Drosophila melanogaster: one gene and its partners. The gene in region 3 interacts genetically with the main gene of each other region. Each region holds a gene or a part of one and is shown on either strand. Other genes may lie near its edges.

Region 1 (8,713 bases), 2.0 Mb from region 3:
AGTCTCTCTCTCTCTCTCTCTCTCTTTCATACTGTGTTCCTCTCTGCCGTTTCCTTTGTGCTGGGTATTCTTGTTTGTTGATTCACTGCACAAATAAATCTCGGCTTTGAATGTTATCGAGGTGTGCAGGATTCTCTGGTTTGCCCTTTTTCGCTTTTCTCTTTCTTTCCGATTGTCAAATATCGTTTTTGGTTGGGAGATTAAAAAAAACAAACCCTTGGCACAGGTAGTTCGTTTCACTTCCATACGCACACACCTACATATACATAGTGTGCATTGTTTTATCAGTCCTTCGGCAGGTAAAACTAATGCCAAAAATATATGTACGTATACCAAGGGAAGAGGAAGAAAAAAGACGAGGCGAAAAGAACTCATATTAAATGCCTATTGGAGAAATCAAGTTTGCCGCCTGAGTCTTTCGATTCAAAATTAAAAATTACTAAGGTTGCGAACTTGAGCTACCTTCCAAGGTATGCAATTTGAAAAGTATGTTTACTCAAATAAATTTGTGTGTTAATTGTTTTGCCATTATCATTTAGTTGTTATCATTTTAAATGTAGCTAAACTGGGTTTTTTTCTTCTTAAGCAGAGCATTTGATATTCTTATATGGTTTTTGATAATGAAAAGGGTTACCCATATGAGGCTTGATTAATCAATGCAGAAAAGGCTCTCATCAGTTGATATTCATTCCATTTACATATGCGCAATCAAGTGTAGATGCCCATCTAGATTTCAATTAGTTGAAGATCGGAGAGCGAATCGTCTGGGGGATCAAGCGCTTAATTGAATAAACAATAGAATTGATTTGATTTCCGAAGAAAATCTCAGCACTGGCACTATGAAGTAATGGGTTTTGGGTTTTGTTTTCTGTTACTACTGCCCCCTTGTCTTTCTCTTTTTGCATTTACCTTACCATTTACCTCATTTACCACTTGACTTTTGCTTTTGACTCGTCGTCGTCTGTGTTTATTTTTTTTTTTTTTTGGTTTTGTTTGAGATGGTGAGTGTTGTTTGGAGAGGGTTCGCTGAACTTGTCTCTGGAGAAGGGTCGCGAGGTCTTTAAGGGAACCTTTCGCTAACTTCCGCTCGAGGATTGCAACATCTGCGTGTAAGCTCTGTGTGTGCAATTGAACTTGCAGTTCTAACAGCTGCAGAATTTGCATTGATCGCTCTCCTTTATTTTTGGAAATTTCCTTATCGCCGATCGGTCGATCAATGAATTTCCTTTCGGTTATTTATTAACTTTTACTAGTGGCCCGAGAGAAATTCGCGGCATAAAGATCGCTGACTGAAGATAGAGGAAAATGTAACAGGAAGTTATGCTCATAACTTCCAGCTGTGGCGGGCGAAGAAACTAGGAGGAATTCTTGTCCATATATGCATGAAGTTCAGTTCGGTTCGTTTTGGTTCGGTTTGGTTCGCTTTTCTCGAGCATCTTGGTTCGCATTTTGCTTTTTCTCCTGTAGCAATGTTCATCCTCCAAGGCCCTTTAGCATTTCACAAGCTCTGTTCTTTTGCCTTTCCTGCCTCTTCTGGTGAGTTTCTTCTCCCCAGTCTTCAATTCGACTGGTTCTACAAGTTTTATTATGGCCAGTTGCCTTGACTTTGCTTAGGCCAAATGGCAGACGACGTACCTACAATGCACCCCACCCAACGTCCTCATCCCCAAACCACCTTCTCCTGCTCCACCTCCTCAACTGAACTTGGCTCTCATGATCGTCATGATGATCTTCTTAGTCATTGTGTGTAGTTGGAACTTTAGCTCAAGTCTAGGCTGCAAAACCAAACAAAATGAAGTTCTTTTTCTGCTCCGCACTCTTTTCTTTTTCTTTTTCCGTTTCTTTTTGCTTTGGCTTTGGTTCTTCATCTTCTGGCAAAACTTGTACTTTTGCGTGGTTGAGAGGAGATTTTTTCTTGTATCTGGCTTTTAGTACCTTGTACTTTGGTAGTTATATAATTTTTTTTTTTTCGTTCGTTCTAGCTTCGCTCTAGTGTGTGAGTGTGCGCTCAAGTGTGTGAAGTTCTTGGCCATGGGCACAGCCCACTAAAGCCAAGAAAAACACGAACAGCGAGCGGTAATTGAACAAAAAAAAAAAAAAGTGAACAAGCAGTGTGACCAGAGGGTTCTTTGAAATCAGAGCAGCATGAGAACACATGTTTAGAGTGCAAGACCTAAATAATATTAAATCCTGCATAGATTGATCAAAGTTGGAACTTAAAACTTCAAAGTGTTAGTTATGAAGTTATGCGAATCCGATGAGCTCACCAACTTCTGTGTAATTCTATCCAATTTAAAAATTTTTTCTTTGAGAATATAACGTTGCGAAACGATTTCCCTTCAAATAACTTCCATTACAATATCCGCAGAACTCATAAAAATTATACAGCGGAAGCGTTCATAATACATTTTTAAGTGGATGGGCGATAGAGATGATGAAGGGAACTTGGTTGGCTTGGCGATAAACCGGGAGGAACCGAGAACGTAACATGTTATTTAATTTAATAAATGTTGTATATAGCACTCAACTACGCGCTCCGTGAAAATAATATATATAAGCTATAACCATGAAATATAATGCCTGCGTAAGGGGCAAAATTATGAGGCTGCGTGTGAGAGAAGCTACTCTTGAAGTGAAGTCGAGCCATAATGGTTGCATAAAAATATAGATATAATTAAGGCCAGACAAAGGGCAGTTAAAAAATGCTTAGAAACAAAAGACTTTAGCGAAAAAAAACGCCAAAAGAACGCTGAACGAAATTCACTTTCAAATAAAATCGAAAAGAACTTAATTAATAAAACTCGCCCCGAAAACGAAGAAAGTTCTTCTCGCCTAATCATTTATGAAAATTTTAAACCTTTAACCTAAGACCACCGCCTAAATCGAAATGACTTAATAAGCATGCTGGGCGATTATATAACAGAAACAGACAGAAAATAAAAAGAAAACTGAAAACAGAAAACAGAGATCAGAACAGAGACATGAGAACTCTGCTTGGCTTTTTTGGCAAAATAAAAAAAAAAAATAAATAAAACGAAATAATACGCTTACGAAATTCAATGAAAGTGATTGATGTCGAAGTAAACCCATAGCTCCGTTTTGGAGAATGGAAGATAGACAGGGCAGATATAGATACAAAGATACAAAGATACACTGGGGACGAGTTCGTTATGGTGTGGGCGAAAAGCAATAACAAAAGCTGCCCAAAAGTGAAGCTTGAAATTTGAAAAGATTTCCAGGCAATAGATATGGCGCATTGTATTGCCAGCCGATTTGCCATCGGCCAAAAAAAAAAAAAAAAACTGACTGACAGATTTGTAGCAATTATTTATCCAAGTAAATTAAAATTCTTTGCGTTGTTCTTTGATATTTTGTGCTTCGAGTATTCCAAACAAGTAACAGAACGCATTTATGTGACAACGGTTTGGCAAACGGAAATTTAATCGCTCCTAAAGGTGTATTTATGTATAAGGCAGCGAAAAGATTTTTAGACTCTGTTTTAGAAAAGTTCAACTTACCATTTTGAACTTGGCCAGTGGCGCATTCGACTTCCAATTCCGCAGGATTTTGTATTTGATTGGGATTTGCATTTGCATTTGGATTCGGGCTCTGATTTTGATTGAGATGATCGAGACTGTGGCGCGATTGTCCGAAGTAGTGACGACGATGGTGGAATCGTTTGCGCGTGAGGCTCAGTGGCTGTTGATCTGAATCGGGCACCTGTCCGAGCACCTGTTGCCCCTGACCTTGCGGTTCCGGTGGTGGTTGGGATGTGGGCGTTGGCGAGGGGCCGCTACCACTCCCACTTGGACTGAGGGGCGGCACCAAGCGCTCATCATCCTGATTCTTGTGCTGCAGCAAGTTTTGCGATTCAAGCAAGCGCTGTTGCTGCTGATGCAGGCGATTTTTGATCAGGAAAATCTTCGGCATGATGGATTATCGGTTGATTTGCGATGAACGATAAGCGATTTAACGAAACGCGACGGCGACACGCGACGAATTCAAGGAGGCGACGAATTTCTTCGTATTTTCAGGTGGACGAGGGACAGTTACAGTGGGTCCGAAATAAACAAAACACTAATCCAATTGTGTGTGTATGTTTGTTCGCCGCTCGTCCACTGTGTTGAAAAAAAAAAAATTGCTTGATTTCAGTTTTGATTTGGTCATGAGCCGAGCTCAAGTTAACTTCTGTTTTGCCCTCTTCATGTCTTTTGAAAGTTCTTCGGCTTTGCAAGTCAAAGTCAAGTCAATTATAATTGAGGGATTGTTTTGGGGTGTCCTTTCGTGATTTTGTTCTTTGGTTCGAGAATTTTGCTTTGTTTTGTCAAAACACTTCGAAAAAATGTACTTGAAAAATATTGCCTTTTCGGCAGTGTCGAGTCTTGGTTCTTTTTTTGAAAAATCAATTTTTTTTTAAGTTTTCGGTGACTTGTCGAAAAAAGTGTTGATTTTTCCCCCAAGTTTTCAAAAAAAAAAAATATTCGGTTATGAGAAATTTTTGTTTTTCCCAATTTATTTTTTGGGTTTTCAAACACTTGTTGGGTTCTTGATTTATTTGTGTTATTCAGCGCACTTGTAAAAAATATTACTCAAAAAAAATTTTGTTTCTGTTTTGTATGGATGTAATTCAATATATTACTATATTGATTGATGCACAACACAGTGTTTTCGTTTTTATAAATTGTATTGTTTTATGTGAGTTTAATGGTTTGCTTTGGTCTTTGGGATTCGCCCAGGTGAGTTAAGCGAAAACACGTGCATTCACAACGCCGGCTCGCAACTTACTGTATTCGAGGTAGTCAGTTAGGCCAAACCAAAGTCAACCGATCGATCTCGCCGCTACAACAAACTCAGTTAGACGGCGAATTTAAAACACCGTAAATCGAGAGAGAGAGAAAGAGCGAAACTTCCCTTTCGTATGAGTCAGAAAATAACGAGATATTCGCCGTTGCTCAGGTGAGAAAAACAGCGGCGAAACGGCGAACCAAGCGCACCTGTGTGAGAGAGAGTGAGAGTGTTTTGTGTGCGTTGCCTCATTTCGCTCACATAACGTTTCTCATGCAGTTTCGCGCTCTCTCTCTGTCTCTCTGACGCGCCCTCTCTTTCCCTCCTCAGAGTCAAGGTAGTGATGATAATGATGATCACGCTCATGATCAAGAATCTTCGCCTTGGCCATTTGCCGGCTGAGATCGTTTTTACCCGATACCGCGAGCTGTACTTGTGGTACTTAGAATTTGGTTGGATTGGCAAATTAATAGAAAATTTAGAAAAATTTCAATATAAATATTTATGTTCCGGTCATTTTTTGTTAATTTTGTACTGTACTTTCGAACTAAGGACTTTGTATTTACAGCACATCTTAAAATAATTGAATTAAAGCTAAATTTAAATAGATATTTTTCTTAAATGTTCTTAAGCCTATCAATAGATATCAATTATTAAAACGATTTGTTTAAATGAAATAGTTTGCAAATAATGTTTTTAAATATCCTCCTAATTATAATTAAATATTCTGGCTAGTTTGTTTCCTAAGTCATTTGATTTTCGATAAAAAGAACCCCAAAAAAGGAGGCATGATTGTGGCCCTTGAAGAATTTCATCATTATTATATCTGTGCGAGTGTGTTTGTGTACAACGATGGAAAGAGAACCGCGGTAAATACAATAAGAAGAAATAACGAGCCAAATAAGAAGAAGCAACAGCGGCAAGTAAGATGGAAAAATGTACCCATATAAGCGAAATTAAACGGCAAAATAGTTGGCAACGCAGGCATTTCTCGCTCTCAGGTGTGCGTCTCATTCTCTCTCTCTCTCTTTCACCAGCTCTCTCCTTCCCCTAAATCCTTGTGCGCATGCGTTTGTATGTGTGAGAGAAGATCGCTTAGAATGCGCTTAGAATGGCAAATAAGAAGGCCTAGCTCCATCTCTTTTCAACCCGCACAGGTGCGCTGCCAACGGATAACTAACGTTATTTCACCGACACACACACACACATGGAGAGCAAGTGATGTAAGCGACGGCGAATTCAGAGCGTCGCACACCTGTGTGGCACACACACTCATATACATACACGCACGCATACGCTCTTTTGCGGCGACGTAACAAATTTACAGCTAACTTTGAGCTGGTGTGCGGAGGTAGAGAGAGAGAGAGCAACGAGCCGAAGGTAAAAACGAAGACGAACTCACGTCCGAAACTGAAAACGAAGCCTCGTTCGCAGGTGAGAGAGGTGCACCATAAGAAATTAGTGCGCTGCCCCTTCAAAACTTAATAGAATAATAACATAAAACTGAGGATCAACTTAATCCTTTTTTTTTTTAATTTCATATCAAGTTAAAATTTTAAGAAATAACACATTTTTAAAATGTTGGCCTCTGATTGAAAATAATCGGTAGAATTTGTAATTCAATTATCTGAAACTCATTTTATTTCCGTGCATCGATGTGTATCGCGAGAGAATTGGAGAAAGAGCGGCTCTGAGAATCTGAGGCCGAAGTGGCAGGCACAGAAAACCTGTTGCTAACTTTGGCTTTGACTGTGACTTTGCCGTTGAGGCAGCGGCAATGTTAATGTCATGATGTTGGCGTTAGTAGAGGTTTTCCGTTGGCTCTTCTTCTTCTCGGTCGGTGGAGCCTTCTGAAGAACATCCCCCCCCCCTGCGTTGTTGTTGCTGCATTGTTCCTGCGCCAACTTCACTCTCACTCAAAAAGCCGCTCGTTGGCCAAAATGCAAGTGTTCTGGTCCAGAACGAAAATATGCACAGATTTTGGTTGTACTAAAAGATTTGATTATATGTACATTGTGTACATAGAATGTTCTTGAAAGCGAGAATTTGTATTATGTCTATATATTTTTTGCAAATAGTTCTATACGAAATAATAATTGATTTTCTTTGATTTATTTTCAGAATCTAATTGAAACCCTTGCAGATAAAAAGTAAGTTAAAACTCTCAGCGAAAATTTAAAATGCAACTAGTTTAGTTTAAAGCTTTATTATTCTAAAATGGTTATTGAAGCGACTATAATATAAGCCCAAAGTTCAGATAGTGGATCGAGATCTCTAACCAAAAGCGAATCTCAAGTTCTTGATTGCGAACCCAATGAGAATCGAGCTGGTTTTTGTTGTTGGCCCAGACCTAGGCCACCAAAGGTATAGACCACGACCGACACTGCTTGCCAGATCCATATATATATATATATATCTTGTCTATATGTATACATCTATACCGATGTACGTAAGTGTGGAATTGCACATGGCAAGTGTGTGAGTGTGTTCACTGGGCTGTTAATGCCTTGACTTTGGCTTTGGTAGTTGGGTTCTTGTTTAGGTTGGGTGGGGTTCGTTCCAAGAAGGGGGCGGTATGGGCGTAGAAGAGGGCCCACGGAGCCAACAGAATTTTCTCGTTGTTAGTGTCTGCATCTTCTGCTCCACGGGCAGAGAGACACCCCCCCCCACCCCTCTTTGCCCGCCGTCGCCCATTTCGCTGGGTAATTGCTGTGTTTAAGAATGTGTTCCTTTGGGCCTCAATGCGCTTGGATCGTTCGATCTCATTCACTCCTTCTTGGCTGGTAGTTCTTGCCATTGTGCGATGGTGTTGTACACTCGAAAAAAATGATCAGTAGTGTATTTTTGATTTATTTTGATATATCAAAGTGCAGAAATGGGTAAAATGTCTTGTGTTTATTAGTTTGGAAAGCCAAAGGTGCGTTGCCAAGCAAAAGTCGGTTTTGCATAATTTAAAAAGGAAACAATTGTTTAGATTATTTAAAAAAAAATAATTCAAATAAAATCTTGAATGGAATGTATGGAAATAGTTTGGCGATCTTTTTTCTATTGTTTTTTTTTTTGTTTTTTTTTTTATTACAACTTTTTGTTGGTTCTTATCTTTATTTGCTCAATTGTCGTCATCGACGGCGACTCGCTAAAATAATGCTTCAAGTGAAGCAAGAAGCAGATAGCCAGCCAGCCAGCCCATTGTGGTGGTAAAAAGAGCAAAAGCAGCAGCAGCGGCAGCAGCAAAAGAACGTAATCATCGCGATGATCATGATGATGAGCACGGCAGAGCGGCTGGGAATACCTGTTTTACCTGTTTGTATACCTACTAACGTACTAACACTGTTATAGCGGATTCAACGCGCACCGCACACGCCTGACAACAACAACAGCAACAACAACAACATCAAGAACAGCAATTGAAGACGCGACCAAAGCGGAGGAAGCACATGAAAAAGAGGAAGAAGCCGCTGGAAAAAAAAGAAGAATCTCTTGCAGTACCGATCCCAACGCCCAAAACCCCACACACATGGATACATGAAGCGGCAGGCAATTGGATATGCTCGATACCGTGATACCTACTAAATAGAATGCTGAGTAGTAGAGGTGCTTGTGAGATAGGATAGAATGAATTGATAGAATCTTCTAAGGATTAGATGAGGAAATTTGTTAGTACTGAAGTTAATGATACATTTTCGTGGCCAAACCATTTGAAGCAAGTTAAGTGCATGGTATTGCTGCGCCCTTATGCTCAAGAAAACGGTTTTTTTTTTCGATCTGTTGTCCGAATGCAGAAACCGAAGGCGAATCCCAAGTTCTTATGCGCCTTATTTCTTAAAAATCTTTCACATCTTCTCGCATCACTCTTTGCTCTGGAGCTTCACTGGGTTCTTTTGCATCATAATGATGATGCTGTTATGCTGCACGCTGATGGCCATGA
Region 2 (3,441 bases), on a different chromosome or scaffold from region 3:
AGTAACTGCTCTCAGTGAAAGCTCAGACTGGCTTAGTTACTTGTATACATGGCACATACTTATATGATAACTACGTATCTTATCTTTCAGATCGACATACTGTGCAACGAGGAGCTGCTCGGCAAGGATCACACGCTGAAGTTCGTCTACGTGACGCGCTGGCGCTTCCGGGATCCGCCGCTTCGGCTGCAGTTTCGTCCGCGGGTCGAGCTCTAACCACTGTTTTAGTATAATGCCACAACAAATGATCTATTTTTATAATTTATTGACAATGCGTAAATATCGTAATTAGGAGAGTCGCTAGTGTTAGTCCCCTCGAAACCATGAGTGTATGTGTAAATGTGCATGTATAAAGTCGTAAATATATGGTTATCCCTCCTAGAATTAAGTAACTTCCACTTCCTAACTCGTGTGACCCTTTTTTTGCCGCCTTCTTTGCTGCATTTGCTCATGATTTAATCAACGTTCTCCGTTTGCAATATTTTATGTTCTCCATTTTTAGTTTGAAATATATATGTATTTATTATTTTAATGTACAAAACACACGAATGTAAATAAATTTGTAATTATGTCGAATGGAGTATGTTCAATATGGGGGACGCCCCGCGTTTCTGTAGCCAAATCGCGGAACTCCAATGAACGGCGGTCGCTGGCGGTATCTGTAGGGGGCCGGTGGAAACGGCGGAGGACGTGGTAGCCTTTGGTATCCAAAACTTTGCTGCATACCAGACATCCCCTGCAAAATCGATTTAAGTTAGATTTGTTATTTGTTTCAATACAAATAACTACTAACGTAGAAATCCTGTGGTGGCACTTGCACATAGTAGTTGATGATCTTTGGCGGAGGATTATACCGATGCGGGCTCCGTTGACGGCGTCTTCGTTCACTGCTGCGACTTCGGCTATGTTGACGGCGTTTTCGTTCACTGCTGCGACTTCGGTTGCGATTGCGGCTCCTAGAGCGCTGGCGATGCCTTCTGTGCCTGCTCTCTCTGATGGACGACTGTGATCTGGATCTGGAGCGAGTGCGTCTGGTGGATTGGTGCGCTCTTTGGCGCAATCTTCTCAACCGATCCTGTTCTCGAACCTCGTCTGCAAAGTACGGAATCTTGTGCTCCTTCTTTCTGCTGTCCCTCTCGCTTGATCGCCCATGGTATTCTCTTTCTCGCCGGGATCGAGACCTTGAGCCACGGGAATCTATGTGAAAAGAGTGTGCGGTTAGTCAATGCATCTAACGCATAGTGTTTGGCGCATCGTCGGAGACGGAATCCACGTAATGCGCAGTTGAGAGTCCTATTGTCCTAGCTTCTCTTTCTCTGTCTGGTCGTCCAGCGTTCATTCTCATCCATTTCACATTTCACACAATATGACACTAGAAAAAAAACAACAAAAAGATGGCACTGGATCAGAATCTGATCAGATCGGTTATACTATATAGTGGGTACCTCGATGCTGGGTTCCACTGCTGTCGGCATCCATTTTCATCGGAAAATGCTGGAAATTAAATGATGCACTTTCCTCAGTGTGACCGTACTCGGCTTGCACCTTGCAATGTGCCCGCCAACTCACTTTTCGACGAACTATCGCTACATATACGTTACTTTTTGAATATTCGAGAGCAACATATCAAAATTTAAAATTAACTCATATACTTTATTAGTTTTTATTTAAGCTAAATTCAACTTTTAGGAAACAAGCGAGTATTTTAACTTTAGGGTTATGCGTTTTCCTTACAAATACTCTGCAAACACGGTTTCATTTCACAAGTACACAATACAATTTTTGTTTAAACTAACTACACAAACATAGGGAAAGCAGAATTAGCAGGCACAAATAAAACAAATTTTAAAATTTAAAACTAATCGGGACACTGATGCGCTCGTTTTCCATGGAGACCACAATGAGCGGCTCCCTTTCGAGCAAATCCTGCCTGGGTGAGCGGAGCAGGCGCACATCGATCTCCGCGTGGCCGCCATCCGGGGATACGTAGCACTCACTGGGACTGATTCGCACCAAATCGGGCACATTGCATGTGACCTCGATGAGCTGCCTGGAGCAGAAGCTGTTGGTTACGGACAAAGTGGCCAGTGGCGAACAGCCCACTCCGAATTCCAGCAAACCTGGCTGCACACACCAGTTTTGCTCGACGGGCGTCAACGTTGTGGTGTCCGCCTCCAATAGCTCATCCACTGGCTCCAATAGATGGCTCTGCGTTGGCGTCGGCGAATTGGCCACACATATGGTGCGGAATAGCACGGTTTCGTCGGCCTCCGGCAGGAACATCAGGGAACTCTCAGACGATTCATCAAAGTCCCGATTGAGGGTAAGCGCAACATCAATAATCCGCACTACTGTGACCAAGTCCAGAATAAACTCTGGCGGTTCGTTCAGCTGACCGATGTTGCGCACTGGCTGCTCGTCCGGAAATTCGCCCCAAATGCTGTCCAGCATCGGCGATGTGAGTTTCTCTCGCTGTCGGCTGCTCATCCTTTGGACCAAGCTACGCATACGCTGTCTGTTGGGCTCGTCTCCGCAGAAAATCCGCATATTGGCCAGGGTCAACACCTGTGCGGTCTTCTTAAGTATGTTCTTCAAGTCCTCACGATTCGGTCGGAAAAGTATCTGCACGCAGCGCTCGCTATTTGGCGGCAATATCAAGCGGCTCGGACGTACCTCGAAGGCCTCGCTGAGGCGCAGTTTCATGAGCACGGTGGAGTCCACTGATATACCAACGAAAGCGGTGAGAGGGCCCTTGTTGTGAAACTTGAGATTCGCCGAAAGCGGACCAGCGGACAGCTCGCATACATCGCCGATGGTAAGGAAACTGGCGCCCACCGGTCCCTTTAGCAGACCGTTTATGGTGATGGACGCACTGCCCCCGTAGCCGTACAACGGAATCTCTAGGCCCGGCTGGTTGCTGTTATGCGCTCCTGGTGGTGCATAGAAAGACAAGGCTCCGATGGCCGCTCCACAGACAGTGGGGCAAAAGTTGATCACTACCGAGCGGCATTCCATGGCTTGGAGTGTGATCGTGCTGCTGTCGGTGCCCACCAGCTGGAATCCGGGTCCCTGGATGCCAAGCCGAATGACCAGCCGTTTGTCCGCTGTGTTCTTAACCTGCATGGACTTACGCACATCTGTCCGCAGCTTTGTGCTTCCCCAACAGAGGGTCGTGTGGGTCACCTTTAGGGGGAGCAGTTTTCCATCGCGATGACTGAACTCACTAGAGTTCGAGCAGCGCGAAATACTACGTGGCACTGCAACAGAGCTGGTTCCCAACCCACGTCTTCCACTCGCTGTGAATCCGCTGGTGGAACTGGCCTCACTACCTGCGGGCGAGGAGTTTGCTTTGCGGGCTGCTCCACTCATGAGCTGCCGGCGGTCGGAACTGGTTGTGCTGTCCAGCAGCGGCGACGAGAGACAGCTTCTTGGCGAGGACAG
Region 3 (8,550 bases):
CACTGGCCACCACTTCCACGGTATGATGCAGCTCAAGTTCGGCGGCGGCTTCTACATTCTGGGCATTGTATTCTTCAAGGCGGACGGCACGATACCCATGGCCCATGCCATTTGGCATCTGTTTGTGGTGCTGGCCGCCGGATGTCACTATTACGCCATCCTGGTGAATCTATATCCAAGCGAGGGAGCCGCAGCACCGTGAACAAACGAGCGCCACAAAGCAGTTGTGGTAACATGCAGCGAATTTAGAACTTAGAGTACTTAACGACAGGGATTCGATGTTGTCAGCCATGTGTAACGTATTCCTATGATATACCCGATGTACCCGAGTCTCTGCTCCACAATTAGCCAAATTTTAAGCGAGCGAGGACGCCTAGCTTGTAGTCTAGTTGTAGCATTACGAACTAACTAAATCGAAACGATTCTTGTGATCAGTATGTGCGGTCTTGCCAAAGATTCAAATTGTGCGAGTGCTCATCTCTCCCTCTCCCTCTCAACTTTAACTTGATATTATTAGCGATATTCATATATTTAGTATCCATAACGACCCGTTTTGGCCATGTGTTTCTCAAAAGACTTTGAACCGTACTCAAAAGGCAAAGGACACGAATATTAAACTTGTACAAATATCCGAGAGTTAACGACCTGAACCTTTTGAACACTAGAAGCCCGCCTATCCCGCATTGCATTATGCATGTTTATACAGATTATACAGATATATTATATACCCATATATACCCATATACACAAGTAGATAGAATTAAGAGGCCATCCGATCCGCGAGTCCAGCCCCTTCGGCCAGTTTCATCGCCGAGCTCAGGGACAAATCGATGTGTTCGCAGATACTGAAGAAGGTGACTATTTACAAATACGCTTGATATCTTGATATTTTCGGGGCCTGGCTCGCGATCGGCGGATATAGCTTTCGTGTACTACTCGTATTTATGGTGCAGATCGATTAGTTTTAATGGCTCTAATAAATTGTATATTTCCAAATGAAAGCAAAGGGCTCAGATGTTTGTTGCGTGCTCAAATATAATTGTTCGTTTTACAATGTTATGCATGTATCTTGTTTAGCTTATTCATACATCTTGTTTAGCTTTAAATATATGAATATACATATATTCTTTTTTTGGTTGCAAATATATATATATTATTTTATTGAAAATTTTTTTTTGTTTGTGTAGAATTCTAAATATTTAAATGAACGAAATCTAACGGGGCTCAAAAGACATAAAATTGTATCTAATTTTAATTCGTTATTTTCTTTTCTTTAAATGAAAATTTCAAGCTTGATTTGAATTCCCATATTTGAATTTTATGTGACCGTTACGAATCAAGCGAAGGTGTGAAACTTGGCTAAATGGGTTCGTGTATTCGCTAAATGGAGTGAGTCTTAACTAACGCGGTGTAGAAAATGAACAGTGTGACCAGCCGAGTGCCTAGAAAAATAACGAAAACGCGTTTAGCCACCGTAAAGCCACCCAAATAGCTTAAATTGACCGACAACCGCGAAACGTGCACACTGCTTTGTTGTTGCCGAAGAAGGAAAGTCGCGCAGTGAATTTTTTTCTGGTAATTTTTCTTTGCTCCTCCTGACACTCGCCACGTAAATCAAACACACGATCCAAGTGAATAAGTTAAAACGTTTTAAAAATCATGACAAAGAAGCTGTTTTGTGTGCCCCATGCAATCCGTGTAGCTACAGAATAAGTGTGTGAGAAGAAATAAATCCCCATCGAAAAAACAATACACACACAGACACTGCAGCATGTACATATATATGCATATAGATATATATATATACATACATGCACAGGGTTTCTAGCGTGACGTGAAGTGTATATAACGAAGCGAAATTAAAAGAACACGCAAAAAGAGAAAAGTGGAGAGGAAACGATAGTGGAAAACACGCAGACATTGTGAAAATGCGCATAGATCATATCGCAATTGTAGTAGTACAATTACAAAAAAACCAAGCATTTTTGGAGTTTTTCTTTTCTTTTTTCAAGTTATACATGTTATTTTTTTTGCTGTTGGCCTCAAATACATACATATGTACATCTGAATAGAGCGAGTAAAGAGCAGTATACAGATACTCGCTGTTTTTTGTTTCTTATTTTTTGCTGTATACGGTTTTTTGTGAAGTTATTGAGCTGAAAGAAGAGTGCAAAAGCGATTGACGAGCCGAAAACATGTTGTAAAATTCCATTCAGCATTTCCCACCACTACCAACAACAGCAAAGCAAAAGCAAAGCCGTTTTTGCTCGCTCTCCCACTCCTTCTCTCTCTCTCTCCCGTCCACTCGTTGTTACTTCATGTACTAATTTTTTTTTCTGTGCTTGCGGCTTCGTCATTCGCATGTATATACATATGTGTGTGTTGCGCCTACGTGAGAGAGCGTGCGAGTGTGTATATGCCCGCAAACGCATAAACACACGCGCACACACTTGCAAGGCGATTCACGCGCCTGGCTTACACTTTGTTTTTTCTTTTTTTTTTCGTTTCCGTTACAGTTGTGTAGTACATAGCAACATGCAAGCATCGCCCAAAAATCATATGCACATACACATAAACAGTAAGTTGTACATAAAAACAGCAGCGTGTGTGTGAGTGCTTAATTCTTTTTTTCCATTTTAGTCTCTAACTAAATAATAATAACTAAGCCGCTGGGTAAGTGGTTTTGTTCGTATACAAACAGCTTTTTGGGGCAAAGAAACAACAAGAGAAACCCAAGGGCAGTAAGAACATATAACGAAAGGTAGGCGAAAAAGACAACAACACACATGCATACAGTCGCGTCCAGTTGTGAAGGGCCGAAAATTCTGGAATAGATTTCGCTTTACCTGAGTGTTTATCGCGTGTCCCTTTTTCACTTCCTTTAGTTCCGCTGCAAATCGACTACCTACATTTACGCATATCCTGTATACATATTACTTCCTGTTTCACCAACTATGCCACCATGTGTTTCTTGCTGCGCATAAATTGGAGTATTTTGTGATTGCTTTTAATAAGTAGATATGTACCTATTTTTTGGTGGTCGACTGTGGCGACCGCCCTACGTCGACGGCATTGCCAGCTGTTATCATCGAAGGCAACGTGTTTTGGCGTACACTTCACTTACACATGTGTCCCTGGTTAAGATATGACATATTTTGGAGTTTCCCAGAGCTTCTGCAATTAAAATAATTGTAATTTCTTCGTTGAGTGTTTATATAGCTTTAGTTGGCGAAACATTATTTTAAAGATCCTCATTAGCGACACGCGCCTTTCGGTTTATGGCCCTCCCTTTTCCATTGAAGATCAGGGATCCTGGATATTTCCAGGCAGGTAGTGAGCGCAAGGGAAGATGTTCGCTTCGCCCTCCGTTGTTGTCTCTATCGTACGCTCAGCTGCCGTATTTTTTGTTTTTCAAGTTGCAGCTGGCTGGTGGGAGAGGAGTGGAGTGGTGAGGAGAGGGCAGCTGCATTTATTTCCTTTTCTCTTCATCTCCGCTTCTCGGTGGGTCATTCCCCTTCTTGCTGTTGGCAATGACGTCGCATCGCAACGATCGTTCCCTTCGCTTAAAGCGTATTGGAAATATTGGAAATGGCGGTAGCTAGTACTACCCCCACCTCCACCAACACTCTTAATTCACATTTCTGCATTCCATTGAGGTCATTCCCTTGCGCAAATTGCACGTTACACAATTCCCATGAGCGTTGCACCCCGTTTTAAACCTTATTTGGTCTTCAGTTAATAAAAGCTTCCCAACAGTGGTCTCTAGATAATGCAACTACTTAGCGTCGTTATTTAAGAGTATATTTTGTAGCGTTGAATGTTCTTATTTCGATGTTTTTATGGCAGATAATACTGAGTTAAATGAAGTTGAATACGTCCTTGAAAGTATATATGTTTCGGTTCCGCAATGTCAAGTGTTCACTGTACTTTTTAAGCTCGCTCAATGTTTTAAAAAGCATACATGCATACATATGTACATACATGCGCATTTGGATACACTTGAAATAACAACAGTATAATAACAATCCAAGCGGACGATCAGCTGGAATGTTCGATGGATCGTTGATTGTGTCTGGCAATGCCGCTGTGATTTTGTTTCCAGACCGAGATCCATTCATGCATGCGGGTACATGACTCATTTTCCCAGCTGAGCGATTGTTAGATGCACAGATGTGTACATGCATCTTCTATATGTATATATGTATACATTAGCTCATGTACTTAAATGGGCTTTTATCAGCTGTTTAGAACACACATTCACTCAAGCACTGCATAATAGTGCTGCTCTATTTACACAACTGTGCTCCAAATTAGCAGACTACTGTTATCAAACTGTAAAGTTTTTCTCGCATTTTGTTATTGCTTTACAATTCGCTGGCGCTTTCTCCATCTCTTTCCCTCGTACACTGCCGAAAAATGTCTGCTAAATGGTGTCAATGAAATCAATGAAAGCCTGCATTGTTTTTTTTTTATTATTGTTATGTAATATTTTTTTCTGTTGTGTATCATTGCAATATTATTTGCTGCTTTGAATTATTAAACAGCTAAAAAAGTCATATATATTAACATTTTATCGTAATATTTAGAAATAATTTTGAACTATTTGTTTTCAATTTTTTAATATGATACATTGGATATATTATTACCACGCATTGTGATATGCATTTTCCCCAAAAGTTTTGTCCGTGATGGACTTTCTTTTATTTTGGTTTTTGATTTCATGGTGATTTAGCTTTCACCCATCTGCATATGGAAAGTCTATGGGTCTTTGGTACTCTATTACTTATGTTTGAATTTTCTTTCATTTCTGGGCTCTCCCATTTTCGGAATGACCGACCTTCTGGTTACCCTTTTGTATTTTCCCCCCACCTTTTTGCTTTTTCCGTATTCACAGCTTGTGACGCTTTTCGTTTCTCTATTTCCGCATTTTCCGTTTTCACGCTGGAAAGCGAGGTACACACTCTGTTTTATATATTTCTGTACATATTTTCATTTTCCTTCCCCTGGGCTTCTTTCTTTTTTTTCGGCATTTGCTGTATATTGTGTACATGGGAAAAGAGCAGCCCTCGAATTTGATGACCGTACCACCCCATTCCAGCCGGCTTTTATTCTGGTTTTTGTGTTTCTGAGCGACCCAATGCGATTTAGGCCGCCCCACCCACTTGGCCGCCGCCCCCCTTTGCGCCTTCGTTTGGCTGCCCTCGTTTTCTCTGGCTCCTCTTCTTCCCCCTTCTCCGCTGCTCGCATCTCTTTTCGCAGCTTCGTATTTTCCATTTTGATTGTTCTCTGTTTGCCAAAAGTTTTGGTTCCTCATTCGCTTCCTTGGAAGGAAGCCCAGCTCTTGCTCTTATTTTTGGCTGGGGGATCCCAAAGTGTAGGACAAATACTCATGTATCGAGTATCCAATGGATTTGCTTCCTGCTTGTGGAAAAATAATGGCTAGGGCTTAGGGCTCACTGGAAATGGTACTTGATAAGATTGGAAGTTAATTCATAAACATTCTTCCTACAAGAATAATATACTTATCTCGTACAATGGTCAAATTAATTTGCAATTAACGATAATGATAATAAAATATACACTAAAAAAATTAAAACCAATCTTACACTAACACCAATACTAAATTATCACTTTGTGCATTCTTTTTTTTTGAGAATTGAACTACTGTTCTTGGCGTTCGATTAGAGTGAACCAAACGTGCGATTAGAGTGAACCAAACACCTTGACTGTCTTAAAGTTTCTGTTGAAAAATTGGCAAAGAATTTTCCTGCAATCTGTGTTCTTGGTATTTTGTATTTTGGGCAGTTCGATTTTTTCCACCCGGCGTTTTTATAAGCGGGGAGGTAAATCTGCTTTTTCACCTGCCCCTACCCGAAATCCTAGCAAAAAGGCAGCTGCAATTGGCCTGCAGGAAAATAGGATCTATAATGGGTTATTTATGGCGGGGTTTATGTTAATGGGGATTTAGAGTTAATAGCGATATGACTCTTTTCAGGATTTATATTTGATAATATCAATTGCTCTTACTTGATTAGACTTTTAATTTGAGTACAAAAACACCTAAAATTTTAATTAGTGTTATATTAGTGTAATACAAATGCAATAGACATTTAACAGTAATAGATTAGATATGGAAATAGTATTGTGCTGGTATTGCTTCAGAAACGGATAACGTTTTAATTGCCCAAGTTCAGATTGAATCTTAATAACCAATTTTAATTGTTATGCCCTCATGGAGTTATTGGAGTCGTAGTTTGATACGTTCTAAGAATCTTATTACCTAACAACTAAAAGATGTTCACAGAATTTAAATCGGGTAGCAATACAAAATGCAGCTTGCTTCCAAGTAATTAACATGCAGCTTGCCACGTTCCACCTTTCGGCGTTTTCCACCCACCCGGCCCAAAAAAATAGAACTATCACCTTGCCGGCATCCAGCTTCCGAGAATGCGGAACATCTGCCTGCCTGCGAAGATCCGCGATCCGGGAATCGGGGATCCGCGAAATGCAGCCGGCCACCCAAGAAAGTACGCCTGGCACACTTCCTAGCGGGATCAATTCGCGGGATCTTAGGTAGCCCACGCGACTGGCACGCGCACCTTGCCTCCTTCGATCTTCTACCTGGCACCCAGCCACCGCCCACTCGCTCGGCACCCCTCTGTCGATCCTTAAATAGATCGATGGCCCGCAGGACATCTTCAGTCGAGTTCCACTCGTGACAAGTCCAACTTGTGTTCAGAGATCTTGTGATTTCTTGTGTGTCTTACATTCAATTTGTTGAAAAACGTAACTTTGTGATTATCCCATTATGGATTTCAATTTTGATACTGTGACTCCCTGTTCGACCATGTCGTCCTACTATAACTTTAAGATGGCGAGGTATGTTGAGTTCTATCCAATCGCTTGTTTGTTTGCTGGTCAAAATATTGTATAAATGCGCAGCTTATTTACTAGTGACTTGTGTTAAGAAATCGTTTGCTATAACTTATGATGGTATGGCAACCCTGGATAAGCGACTGTATACAAAGTGTTAAGGATTTAAGTATTTATTAAGTGTATTCTTAAGTTATAACCTGTGTTAGTGTATATATTTCTTCGGGATCTGCTTAGAAACAATATCTAGAATCTTTTCTTTTTTAATGCCTGACAACTATAGTTTTAAACACTCACACACACACACACACATAAACTCAGCTCAATGCGTGGTACGATTAACGGAACTTCTCTATTTAGCTGTGGGTTGATCATTTTATTTCGTTCATTAAATCGTGCAGCACACAATTCACGTCTTTGTCATATTTTTATTGTCATCGTATAAATGTAGAACCACCATTACACCCCCTCCCCTCCTCAAGCTAAGGGAAATTCAATTGAATCTAAACTATATCGATCAATCAACTCCTAGTACCAACAACAACAACTAACTCTTCAACTTCTACAACAACTACAACAGCGCGCCTACAAGAACAGCTATAATAAGCACACACTTAAAAAAAACCCCATAGGACTTAAGAGAGGAAAGCACAGTGAGCGTGCACACATGTAAAAAGAGAAAGAGAGCAACAGCAATTTTAGTACAACACAAGAAAGTTGAACAGAGGCAGAAGAGAAGTAACAGGAAAACAATAACAACGACAGCAGCAGGCCAGCTGAGAGCGCTGAGCGCCAAAACAATTGAAGAGATCGATTGAATCTCGATCATCGTTCTTAACCTCAAGTCAACTGCAACTCACCTCATCATCCTTTTCCTGTAAAACCGAAACTCACCTTCGATCGAGGGTGTAACTTTTGTTGATTCGAAAAACACACTCCCAACTCTCAGGATATGTACGGCAACAATAATCCGGGTAGTAACAATAATAATGGTGGTTATCCCCCATATGGCTACAACAACAAGTCGAGGTAAATTTTTAAACTTGAGTTCTCACGTTTCGTCAGCCACATCCACATCATTTATGTTTGATCTTGATACCCATTCGAATGACAATCCCCAATCCCCTCTTCCTTTCCACCCATTCCTTCCCACACATATAACACACAAAACTTTAAGATGATACAGTGTTTACCTAATTTTTTTGCTACCCATACCTCTTTGGCGAACGAACAAAAGACCAACCCAACCTTTTTTTGAATAGTTTGTACGAAGAAGAAAATTCCATGTTGCTGGAAAATAGTTGCAGTCAACGTTATTATTTTGTTTAGATTTAGACTTATTGGTTATGAAAGTTCAAGTTATTTGCTTGTTCGAAATCTCTTTTACTAGCAAAACTTGTCGGCATATGTGCATTGGTATTTGTGCAGGGAAGGATGTCGATTGACAGTCGATAAAATCTCGAGATTGTTATCGATTTGCTGTCGATGTCACTGGCAAAGAAAAAACAAGGAAATCATATTGAGTGATGTTCTCCCCCCTATTCATTCTACATTCACACACATACACATTGTTTGGTTTTTAGTTCACTTGATTCTTCTTTTTTATTTTTGCGCTCTGATATTATCAGAGACAGAAAGAAAAACAACAAGAACAGCCACAGGAATGGATAACAATAA
Region 4 (9,815 bases), on a different chromosome or scaffold from region 3:
ACAAAGCTTGAAACACCAAAAATATACCAATAATCCAAACAAAGTCAATGCGGGTGTCAAGAGAAGTCGGCGAGTCATTAAACTTGGCTCGCATTTGACATTGCCAATTGGGCAGGTAGTGGAAGTGTATGTGGATTTGAAATCGGAATTGGCATTAGAGTCGCGAAATTCTTGGGTCATTCAACTTGTTTATGCGTACTCCCCGAATTCACCAGCTGCAGCCTACTATGCCAATTGCGATTCCAGCTCCGGATTATCAGGGCAGCAATTCGCCGAAAAATCTGCGACGACAACGACTCGATCTTCAATTACCATGAATGAAGTGAAGTGGAGTGGAGTGGCGTGGCGTGGCGTGGCGTGGTGTGGTATGATGCGATGCGAAGTGAGCTGCTCCATGCCGCACACAATTCCACGGAATGCTACACGAGTCGTCGTAAACAAACAGCTTTGTTTTTTCATTCATTTTTGGGGTCATTTGCCAGAGCAAAACGTGACAACTGGCGACTGGCGGCATTCCACGCAGTCGCGAATAGCCTCAAATGTCGCAACAGACCCTGAGTTCCCTGACTGCCCTGACTGCCCTGACTTCCCTACACCCATTTAACACAACGCAAGTGAAACCCACAAGAACTCAGAACCCAGCACTGAGTGTACCCAGTGCTCAGAAGTTCTTTAATTTCGATTTCATTTGTGCGCAACTGTGGCGAATTCGTTTTGTATTGTGGGCTGATGGCGGTGCCAAGCAGATCAAATTGAAGGACCACCGACTTTCAAGCGGAACCAAAAATCAGACGACATGCTGACTGCCGTCTAAGGAATGCAGCTATGCAAATCGCGATTTGCACAGAGTGCTGATCTGGAAATTAGGTAGCGTGCATGAATTATAGGGAGCACTTAAGGTTTTTAAAAAACGTTTCTTGAAAATGTTTAAAATGGTATAAGAAATGGTATAATATAGGTACAAAGATTTTAAAAACTGAAGATTTTCATTACTGAAACCGCAATCTACCTACATATGTTCATCCCATTCTGATTCAGGCTCCCTTGATACACATTATTCACACATTTAAAACAACTACTTTGAAAACCCCAAAAGCCAAAGGCAAATGGGGCTATTTTCATTAGGGAACGATTAATTTAAAAAATATGTCCTCCAAAGAAACCAGATTTTTGCCAATTAAGGCAAACGATGATGACTCAATGGGCGTCAATAGAGGGGGTTTCTTTGTAAATTAGCAGACATGCTGGCAAAATTTTCGATGCTATTTCGAGCTAGACGAGCCACGATGAGTAATCCTCATTGATGGGCCGAAAGTCGGTCGTCCCCCATAGTGACTAATCAAGTGCACTTTCGGTTCAGTGGGGCAAAAGCCTGGTCATGCAACCACCCAACCACCAAACCACCCAATCGGACTTTTCTCGAAGCGTATTTCCAGTGTATTGCTTAGATTCCAGAACATGCGACATCTGAACGACTGTGTGCAATCTTTACTTAGCTTTTACGAGAATTTTCCCCTGGACTTTGAGGCTGCACGAGTTAGTTTTGTGAATAGTTAGCGAGTGAATACTGATCCAGTCATACGGCGAACGAGACTAGGCCCAGATACAGACGCACTGCAGCAAGGGAGTGGCAGGCACGCCGTGATGAGCAAGTGAATGTGGCTCTCTGCACTTGATTCACCAGCAAATGGAAAACAATTTTATTCACTTATCCGCTTTATCGCACTCATATTATCAGCATGATGCGGTATTTTTTCCGCAGACTTCGCGGAAACTTTTGTCACGAGCATGACGATTAATGGCCCAGGGATTTGCTTAGATTAGAGTGGGGGCACTATGAGAATTGAAGGGCGTGACTCGGTTGCTACTGGGTAAGAGATTTCCCTAATGGTTGATAAACTTGTATATATCACTGGATTCGAGTGGTTAGTTCCAGGGAATTTCCAAATGTATCCGTAGCTATCGGTCATCCATGATCCATGGCGATATCCGATTTAGTTCCAACTAACGCGAACCGGATCGACTTTCCTGCGGCTATAGTGGCCAACTTCTTGACATTCCATATCCCTAAGAAATTCGGTATTTTGCTGAATCGTTAGCTAATGGAATTTCGGATTTATTGCAATCAGAGCTAACCTGCCTTGATTTTAAAATATACCCTTGTGCGCCTTAACTTTTGCTGATCACTTCGATTGGAATAACCAATGATTAAATTGCAAAATATTTTAAAATATTATCGATCAAAGGATTATAATAAGTATTTATTTCGTCACAACTGTTTCGAATTACTGGCCTATCGAACGGATGTGTGAAAATCAAGGCATTCCTATATAATGTTTATGATGCACATATATCTATATCCGTTACGGTCTGGCCACAGAAAAACCTTCAACTCGTCGTGCCGATTATATTAGCAGAAACGGACATAATCGAGCCCCTTAAAACGTAGTTGTATTATCGTCGAAATCCCCGCCGATCCTCTCCAGCAAAATGAATTTCACCATTGGCATTATAATAATTAGCGTCGAAATTTGCTACGATAAGTCGGGGGGCTCGATAAGTTTCCTGTCACTCAAAGCGTTTGACCTCTAAAACAAAAAAAAGAACCATAATGGGACTTTCACCCGAATGAAAAAAAAACCCAGGAAAAGATACCCCAACCACAATAACAAATCCGTTTTGCGTATTTGATTTTTTAGTAGAATCTTTTAAATTTATTTCTTTTTAGTGTGTTGTTTGTTTGTTTTTTCTTTCTTGTTGATTTTTTTGCTTTTGCTTGCATCAAATTCTTGTTTTGTTTTCTTAGAAGCTCATTATGTTCACTATATCACGTGGCCTTACGAATAGATTTGTGTGTTTTATAAATATAATTATTCTTTGATTAGACTTAAGAGCGAGAGAAACCCTAAGCGGCTTAGCTGGCTATGGTACAAAACCTATACTTAAATGGAGATGTACGACTATGTGTAAGAGTTATGCTTTTGCGTTTATCTTTTTCATAAAAAGTATTTCAGCTTTTCAGGTGCTTATTTTCGCATTTTCATTTTCTGTGTTTGGAAGACTTTTGCTGATTTGCTGTTATTCAAAGAGTAATACATGATACATGAGGCAATTCAACACCAAGTACTTGGACTGAGGTAGTTTGGCGATGTCCTGGTAGAATACCGTTCTCTCAAATCGATTACATAATATAATAATAAATAAATTATAACAACGTTTGCGTGTGTGTGTTTGTGTGTGGGTGCGTCTGATGAAGGTCCTTAGCCTCGTCGACGGGTTTCCAGGATATAAGCCAGGAAACTAAGCCAACGAAGTTGTGAACCGAGTTTAGGATTCGCATGTTTGCAACACTTCAAAGCAACATTTGCGCAATCCCGGCGAATGATGTGAAATGTCTACGCGCATGCGCACAACGCCTGCGCATGTGTGCGAGTTGGATGAGTTGTGGGGGGTCAGTCTTAAAAGCGGGAGATTCGATAGGGGTGGCTATGCTATATGATATGCATATGCAGACACCCTCTACCAGGGCCGCCAGGGCTGCTCCTCCTCCTTGATCTGCTTCTTGATCACCAGCGACAGGGGCTGCTGCTCCATTGGCACGCGCTGGATGACCGATGGCTTGATGTCCATGGGCTCGTAGCTAGAGTTGGCCGGACTGGGCGGGGCGTAGCTACAGCTGCTGCTGCTTCCGGGCGCCGACTCGTATCCGGCGGAGGAGTGCGAGCTGGCGGATCCGGTGCTGGCTGTACGCTGGGGCATGCTGACCAACATGGGTTGCTGTTGTGCTGCTGCTGCGGCCGCTGCTGCTGCTGCGACGGCGAGTTGCTGCTGCTGCTGTTGGTGCTGCAGCAACTGTTGCTGCTGCTGCTGGGGCAGGCTCTGGGGCAACACGAGGGCAATGCTACCGTTGGGCAGCTTGGTGGGGATCACCTGCATGCCATTGGGCAGAAAGTAACCGCTGGCCGTCTGCTGGATACCAAAGAGGTAGGGTGCCGCTGCTCCCTGCTGGCTATCCTGCTCCGGCGAGCTGGGCGGCGAGGGCAGCATCTGGGCGTGGATGGACTGCTGTTGCTGCTGGCGCTGCTGCTGGTGCAGCTCTGTCTTAACGCCATTGATGCAGTTGCTCAGGTGCTGTAGCAGGCGACGACGCTGGGCGGGCTCGATGCCGGGAAAGCGGCTAACCTCGTTCACACAGTCGGCGAATCCGGCCTTGAATTTGTTCACAATCTTGGGATCGGCGGCCTGCTGCATGGCTGCCTGCTGGCGCTGCAGCTCCTGCAGATGCTTTACTGTCTTCTCCAGAATGTCGGCCTTTTCCAATTTGGAGTGGCGAGCCGGCTAAAAGTAGAGAGAGAAAATAATTTGGAAATTAGTCAATGATTTAAACTTTTAAAAAATATTTGAGATAATTTCAAATATGTAGTTTTTTTTATTTTATTTGTGGCTTTAAACTTATATTTTTGTCAGATACTTACGTCTTTTTTGGTGGCATCCAGAATCAGAGTCTTGAGTTCATTGAGACAGTTGTTAATACGGGCACGTCGGCGTTTCTCCATGATGGGCTTGTTCGACTGCAAGAGGCAAGAAATGGAAAAAAAAAACATCGATTAGTCACGGCTTTTGCACGGCTAATTTGACCTCATGCAACGACCCAAAAATAGAGGAAGCTGCATGGGTCTTCAATTGGATTGGAGGAGATCAAGGAGGAGGCGGCGTAGGTTGGGGAGCGGATTGACTGGCTGGCGGCCAAATTTAGTCGCACGGCGCGTGCTCTATTTATAGCGCCACTCGGCCGAGGCATTTATTTAAAAATAGTTTGGCGGTTATAAATTACAGGCAGTGGCTATAAATAAACCAACCAGGTATGAGCAAAAATAAAGAGAATGTGACAAGGTCAGAGCGGGAAATTCGAAGATGCCATAACTAGGTACATTATTATCTAGGGAGCACAAGTTGCCAAATTTGGACTCGCATGAAGTCAGTTTTTTTTTTTCTGGCCAACTCATTGAACCGGTGCCGTTCGAATGGCCAAAAACGGCGGCTGATGACCGACAATTGCAGCCACCACGCGACGCACGCGCCAAGTGGCAGCCAAATCCGAATCCGAGTCCGAATCTGGGGAGCTGGTGGGCAGCTACGCCAGCCAATTTTGGGCGGCACTCATGAATGGATGGAGCGTGTGTGTAGTCGGAGTAGTATGCCATATGCCATATAGTAAATGCCACCAACGCGACGCGAGATAAATTCGCTTTGTGTTGGCGCGCCGACGGCAGTTGCGGCCTTTTTTTGGTCTGGCTCAGAGTGTTTTTCTTTTTTCGTATTTTTATTCCCAGCCAGCCATGTGGGAGATGGCTAAAAAGGAAATGCATTTGGGCAGCGGGATTGATGGGGCCAGTCGCCCACAGTCGCGAATGGAAATCAACTTGAGCTCGAAGTGGGTGGCTCTCAATTAGGGGAATTCTCGGTTTGGTTCGCTTCAGTTAATCCACAGATTTCGGGGAACTAGAGGTTCTGATTTAATCCATTGACGGGGTTTTTTGTTTTTGGCTTTGGATTTTTTTTTTCGAGTCTTATTTTTCTCGAAAGAAACTTACCCGACGGTCACTTTTGAGCGGCGTCTCCTTGAGCTGGGCCGGCACAACGGCGGTGCCCAGAACGTTGGTCATGTTGGCTGCTGTTACGCCGGTAACCATTTCGGTCAGATATTGTTTGTTGAGTTTGAGGCACAGTTTGGTTTTCACTTGGCAGCAAATCTGAATTTGCTGCTCTTTGCAATATAAGTTCACTGCTTTTTTGCTTTTTTTAGAATAACTCAAGTTGTCAGTTTTTTTTTTTTTCAAGTTCACTTGGTGGTTTCACTTTCGCGCAGCGTCGCAGAGAAGCACGTAAAATGGTATTGTGTCTGGGGGGGTTCTCTAGATTTCGATTCGGTTTATCAAAGCGGAGCGATAGAACCGCACGCTACGAAATACGGCAGGCGAATGAGCAGCAGGTTCTGGCTGCAGTGCGATTAAAAGACCGAAACGACTCGGCACGAAGCAGAAGATCGATCGTTCGGCTTTCGGATGGTTGCGCTATATATATGTATGTATATATATATATAAGTATTTGCTTTACTGCGTCTGGATGTTGCGGAGCGTAGCGGGACTACCTTATCGCTGGGCTCTCGGCGGAAGACTGACGATTGATCGACAGGTTCGTAGGCTAAATCGCCGCTGCGAGACGCGAGCGCGAGCCACACGACCGCACCAATACAATTGCACTGGCATTGCGGCTACCTAGGGGTATACATTATGCGCTACCTGCTCGCTTCAGTGTGTGTGTGTGTGTGTGCGTGCTCACGCTTGTGAGCGGTACCTAAAGTACACACCGCGTTACTCATACGCCCCCGTGGCTCGCGGGAATGGGCATTTCTTCCTTTTTGGAAATCACACTGCGAAACCCCCATTGGTGATCGTCGGTCGGTCGGTCGATCAGCGATCGGTTTGGCTTGACTCTGCTGGGCTCTGCTAACTGAGGGATTCACAAGAGGCTGTGTTTCTGGCTGTGCTGTTGGTGATGGTCGCGGTGGTGTTGGTGTTGTTGCTGCTTCTGCGGTGGTTTCTGGTGGCTCGCCGTTCGTGGTTTGCTGATTCATGCGGCCAACGCGACGACGTCCCATAGAAGGTGAAAATAGCTGGCTATATGACGCCACCCCAGTGCGACAGGTTCGGTTTTTTGTGCTGTGTACTGTGTATCTGCGGCTCGGGGGTCGCTAAACAGTAAACAAGATCACAAGGTTGTGCGCACGCTAGGCGGAAGTGGGTGGTTGGGTGGTTGGGTGGTTGGGCGATCGGGCAGTGGGTGGTGGCTATAGTTATCCCCCTAGCATTTTCCAGACCAGTCTGTACAACCGACTCATTCAGCATGCCGTACGCCTCAATTAAGTGAAGGTCGCCCTTTTGGCTTTTGATCGATAGCCGCCAACGGGCTAAATGAAATGGAAATCGCTGTGGACAAGGCTGCGTGGATCACACGTGCTCCGCCGGACGCTTAGATTCAGCTTGATGGCTTCTACGTGCAGCGTTGGATTTTCACGTTTTTCATATATTATTTGTTGTTTTGTTTTGGAGTAATGATTTATCGAAGGTTGACTATAATTACGCGACACGCGGAATAGTCGGGCATCAGAAAACTAACCATTCATTAGCAGAATGAGAAGAGGGGCATTGCAGTGAAAACTGGGAATATTACAGTGAAAATGAAGCTTAAATTATATTGTTTATTTGGTAGTAAAAAGCCAAAGTGCGTCACACACATTTCGTTACAACCGAAAGTGATATTTTAAATAACTGCTTAAGCCATCTATTATTTACAAAATATGGGTTAAGTTTTAAGAAATGGTAATAACCATGTAATTAGTTTAACCAGGCTGAGCTCAGTAAAGGTAGATGACACATATTTAGGTTACACGATCTATAAAAGGAAATTACGTTATCTTTGACGTTTGTTCTTGGGAAATATTTTTAAAGCCTGACTTGGACTCTGACCACTGATTAGTGAAGTTATACCAAAACCACGAATCGTCAACAAAGTTACATTGGAATGAGTCAGTCAGGCTTTAAACATTCAAGTTGGCTAAAAACGGGTGTTTACAATATTTTTTTTATAGCGAAACCACCTGGCAGTGTTTTTATAGAAACTAATAAAGTTGACTCTAATGAAGATGAGTAAAAAAACGTTTAGAAGTTAATTTGATTTTACTACACTTAATTTCTGCTTAATAATTAAATGAAATTGAACTTAATCAACAATCACGTCTTACAAATATGCATATCTATCGATTCGTGAAAATACTCAAAAAGTTTGGGGAATTTCTGACATTTTTGACGGTTGTCTAAAGTGTTGTGCGTTTTGTGGTCGCCAGAGAAGGTTGTTATGCCGAGAACACATGCCCCAACAATATGGATACATATATATATAGACGGTAGTGGCGGACGTCGACAACACCTTCGCGTTCCAATTACAATTTGGCAGCCGATCAAAAGGCGGCCCGCCCGCGGTCAGCGTCGGCAGAGGCGTTGTCGGCGGCAGAGGCGGCACTTGTGCATGCCAATTTAATTGCAACGAAAAGCAAAAAAGAAAATAAACAAAAAAGAAAAAAAAACGAGAGGTCGGAAAACGTTGGCGGCGTTTTACATCATGCTAGCTGGCCAAAAACAGCCAAAGGTGTGGATGTATCTCACGGATACAACGCTAAAGATACAGTCACAGATACAGATACACTCGCAGTTGTTTGTGCGTTGAACGCCCAATTTGACGCCCCATTGTTGTTGTTGGCGGACCCGATCACATGCAGCTTCTAAAATAAACTGTGGCAAAAATTTATAGTCGAAAAGGCGCAAGCACACAAAAATGTGCGCATTGCTAATTGCGTCTAAAATTAGACAGCGCCAGATCCCCCAGATTCCCCATAAGCCCCGGGAGCCCTGATCACTGAAAACAAAACAAACACGTTGGTGGTACGATAAAGAACCCCTTGAAGGTATTTCGAATCATTTTGGACCATGTTGGTTAACTATTTAATAATCGTAAAGGCGTTGATAATAACATTATAGCATATGTATAATATTATAGGTATTATTATTTGCTTGTATTTTATAAGATCAATGAATTCAATTTGTGTGCCATTATCATTCAAAATGGTTATTCACTAGACTCAAAATACCATATAGTTTTGACTATTAAGTTTAAAATATACAGAAAATCTTATCTTAGATACTAACTATGTTGATATTATTTATATATAGTATCCATAAACTATACTATATATACTATACTATGTATACTGTTGATCGTAGGGCTCTTTTAACAGCAACGTTGCGAGTTTAACAGCGACAGAAACCCCCACGCGCCGCTTTTAACTTAGTAGGTCGGCAACAGCAGCATGTAACTGAAAATAACAGTACTTGGTGGGGGTAGGGGAGCAACTGTTAAGCCCGAGAGTGGGGCAAACAGGGAGAGAAAGAGAGAACATGCGGACGCTCCATGGCCGCGGCGAAAATAAATTTCTAGCCGCGCGCGCCACTCTCGCGATTAAAACGCCATAAAAATCGCCAACGCTGTTAAAAACGCGCGCCACATTTGAGCTATCCGCTGTTTGCAAATGCACTGCCCAAAAATTTTACATACAATTTTCTAAAGATTTCAGCATAAATTTGGTTGATGAATACAAAACAGTGATATAATGCTTCTGATTATATTATCATTCTACAATATATACAATACAATTTTCACATACTAATGACCCTTAAATAAAACATTAAAATTGGGCCTGAAATGATCTTAATTTTCTCTGAGTATGATGCTGTTGTTTTCGCAACTAATGGCGCTGTAAATTTTGGCAAACCTGAGTGGGTGGATCAGAGTGAGTGGGAGTTAGCAATCGCATTTGTTCCCCACATTGTGCAAAGTATTTTATTACTCATTAAGCGTAACGACGCATTTTGCCCAGAATTTTATTTTCGGCCAGGGAGGGTAATGTGAAAGGGGGTGGCGAGAGGTCGGTCGACGGTGGGTGGGGTTTTATTTGCGGCAGAAGGCTTAATTTTTCGACACAAACGTCAGCAAATACCCGACGACAGACATTCTAAATTTAGCAACAGGTAAAAAAACAATGCAAAAATACATTTTTCCCCTTCCTTCGAGGCTGTTGTCTTCGTTACGTTATGCGTTTGTTTTTTATGTCGAATTTTTTAGGTTGCTCGGCCGAGCGACTTTATAAGGGCAAAAAAATGGAAGGGATCTGTGGATCGCGTGATGCGGAAAACGGATAA

The links.
Region 1: of Sxl (region 3) and ovo, changing one suppresses a phenotype caused by changing the other (phenotypic suppression), as found in Drosophila melanogaster (2 studies listed by BioGRID).
Region 2: of Sxl (region 3) and tra, changing one suppresses a phenotype caused by changing the other (phenotypic suppression), as found in Drosophila melanogaster (3 studies listed by BioGRID).
Region 4: of Sxl (region 3) and hry, changing one suppresses a phenotype caused by changing the other (phenotypic suppression), as found in Drosophila melanogaster (one study listed by BioGRID).

Annotation. Positions count from the first base shown.
Region 1 is NC_004354.4:5,044,348-5,053,060, reverse strand, and holds the start of ovo (ovo), read right to left. Parts: upstream 4,789-8,713; 5' UTR 3,931-4,788; coding exon 3,519-3,930; intron 1-3,518. UniProt on the Drosophila melanogaster protein: Transcriptional regulator with essential functions in the germline and soma. Plays an essential role in regulating the formation of apical cell extensions such as denticles and aristae, and initiating cytoskeletal remodeling during epidermal differentiation.
Region 2 is NT_037436.4:16,589,559-16,592,999, forward strand, and holds tra (transformer), read right to left. Parts: upstream 1,493-3,441; 5' UTR 1,486-1,492; coding exon 1,446-1,485; intron 1,373-1,445; coding exon of another isoform or gene 1,302-1,372; exon of another isoform or gene 1,198-1,301; coding exon 794-1,197; intron 737-793; coding exon 587-736; 3' UTR 501-586; downstream 1-500. Other genes in the region: l(3)73Ah (lethal (3) 73Ah), read left to right, coding at 91-216; spd-2 (spindle defective 2), read right to left, coding at 1,846-3,441. UniProt on the Drosophila melanogaster protein: Member of the regulatory pathway controlling female somatic sexual differentiation, regulated by Sxl. Activates dsx female-specific splicing by promoting the formation of a splicing enhancer complex which consists of tra, tra2 and sr proteins.
Region 3 is NC_004354.4:7,091,026-7,099,575, reverse strand, and holds the start of Sxl (Sex lethal), read left to right. Parts: upstream 1-1,522; 5' UTR 1,523-1,575; exon of another isoform or gene 1,576-1,631; intron 1,632-1,807; exon of another isoform or gene 1,808-1,952; intron 1,953-2,509; exon of another isoform or gene 2,510-2,578; intron 2,579-2,640; exon of another isoform or gene 2,641-2,761; intron 2,762-5,091; exon of another isoform or gene 5,092-5,805; intron 5,806-6,692; exon of another isoform or gene 6,693-6,808; coding exon of another isoform or gene 6,809-6,879; intron 6,880-7,405; exon of another isoform or gene 7,406-7,453; 5' UTR 7,454-7,825; coding exon 7,826-7,902; intron 7,903-8,550. Other genes in the region: CG4615 (uncharacterized protein), read left to right, coding at 1-202. UniProt on the Drosophila melanogaster protein: Sex determination switch protein, which controls sexual development and dosage compensation in females. Sxl protein is only active in females: it is inactive in males throughout development.
Region 4 is NT_037436.4:8,672,128-8,681,942, reverse strand, and holds hry (hairy), read right to left. Parts: upstream 6,185-9,815; 5' UTR 5,694-6,184; coding exon 5,595-5,693; intron 4,572-5,594; coding exon 4,476-4,571; intron 4,339-4,475; coding exon 3,520-4,338; 3' UTR 2,690-3,519; downstream 1-2,689. UniProt on the Drosophila melanogaster protein: Pair-rule protein that regulates embryonic segmentation and adult bristle patterning. Transcriptional repressor of genes that require a bHLH protein for their transcription (e.g. ftz).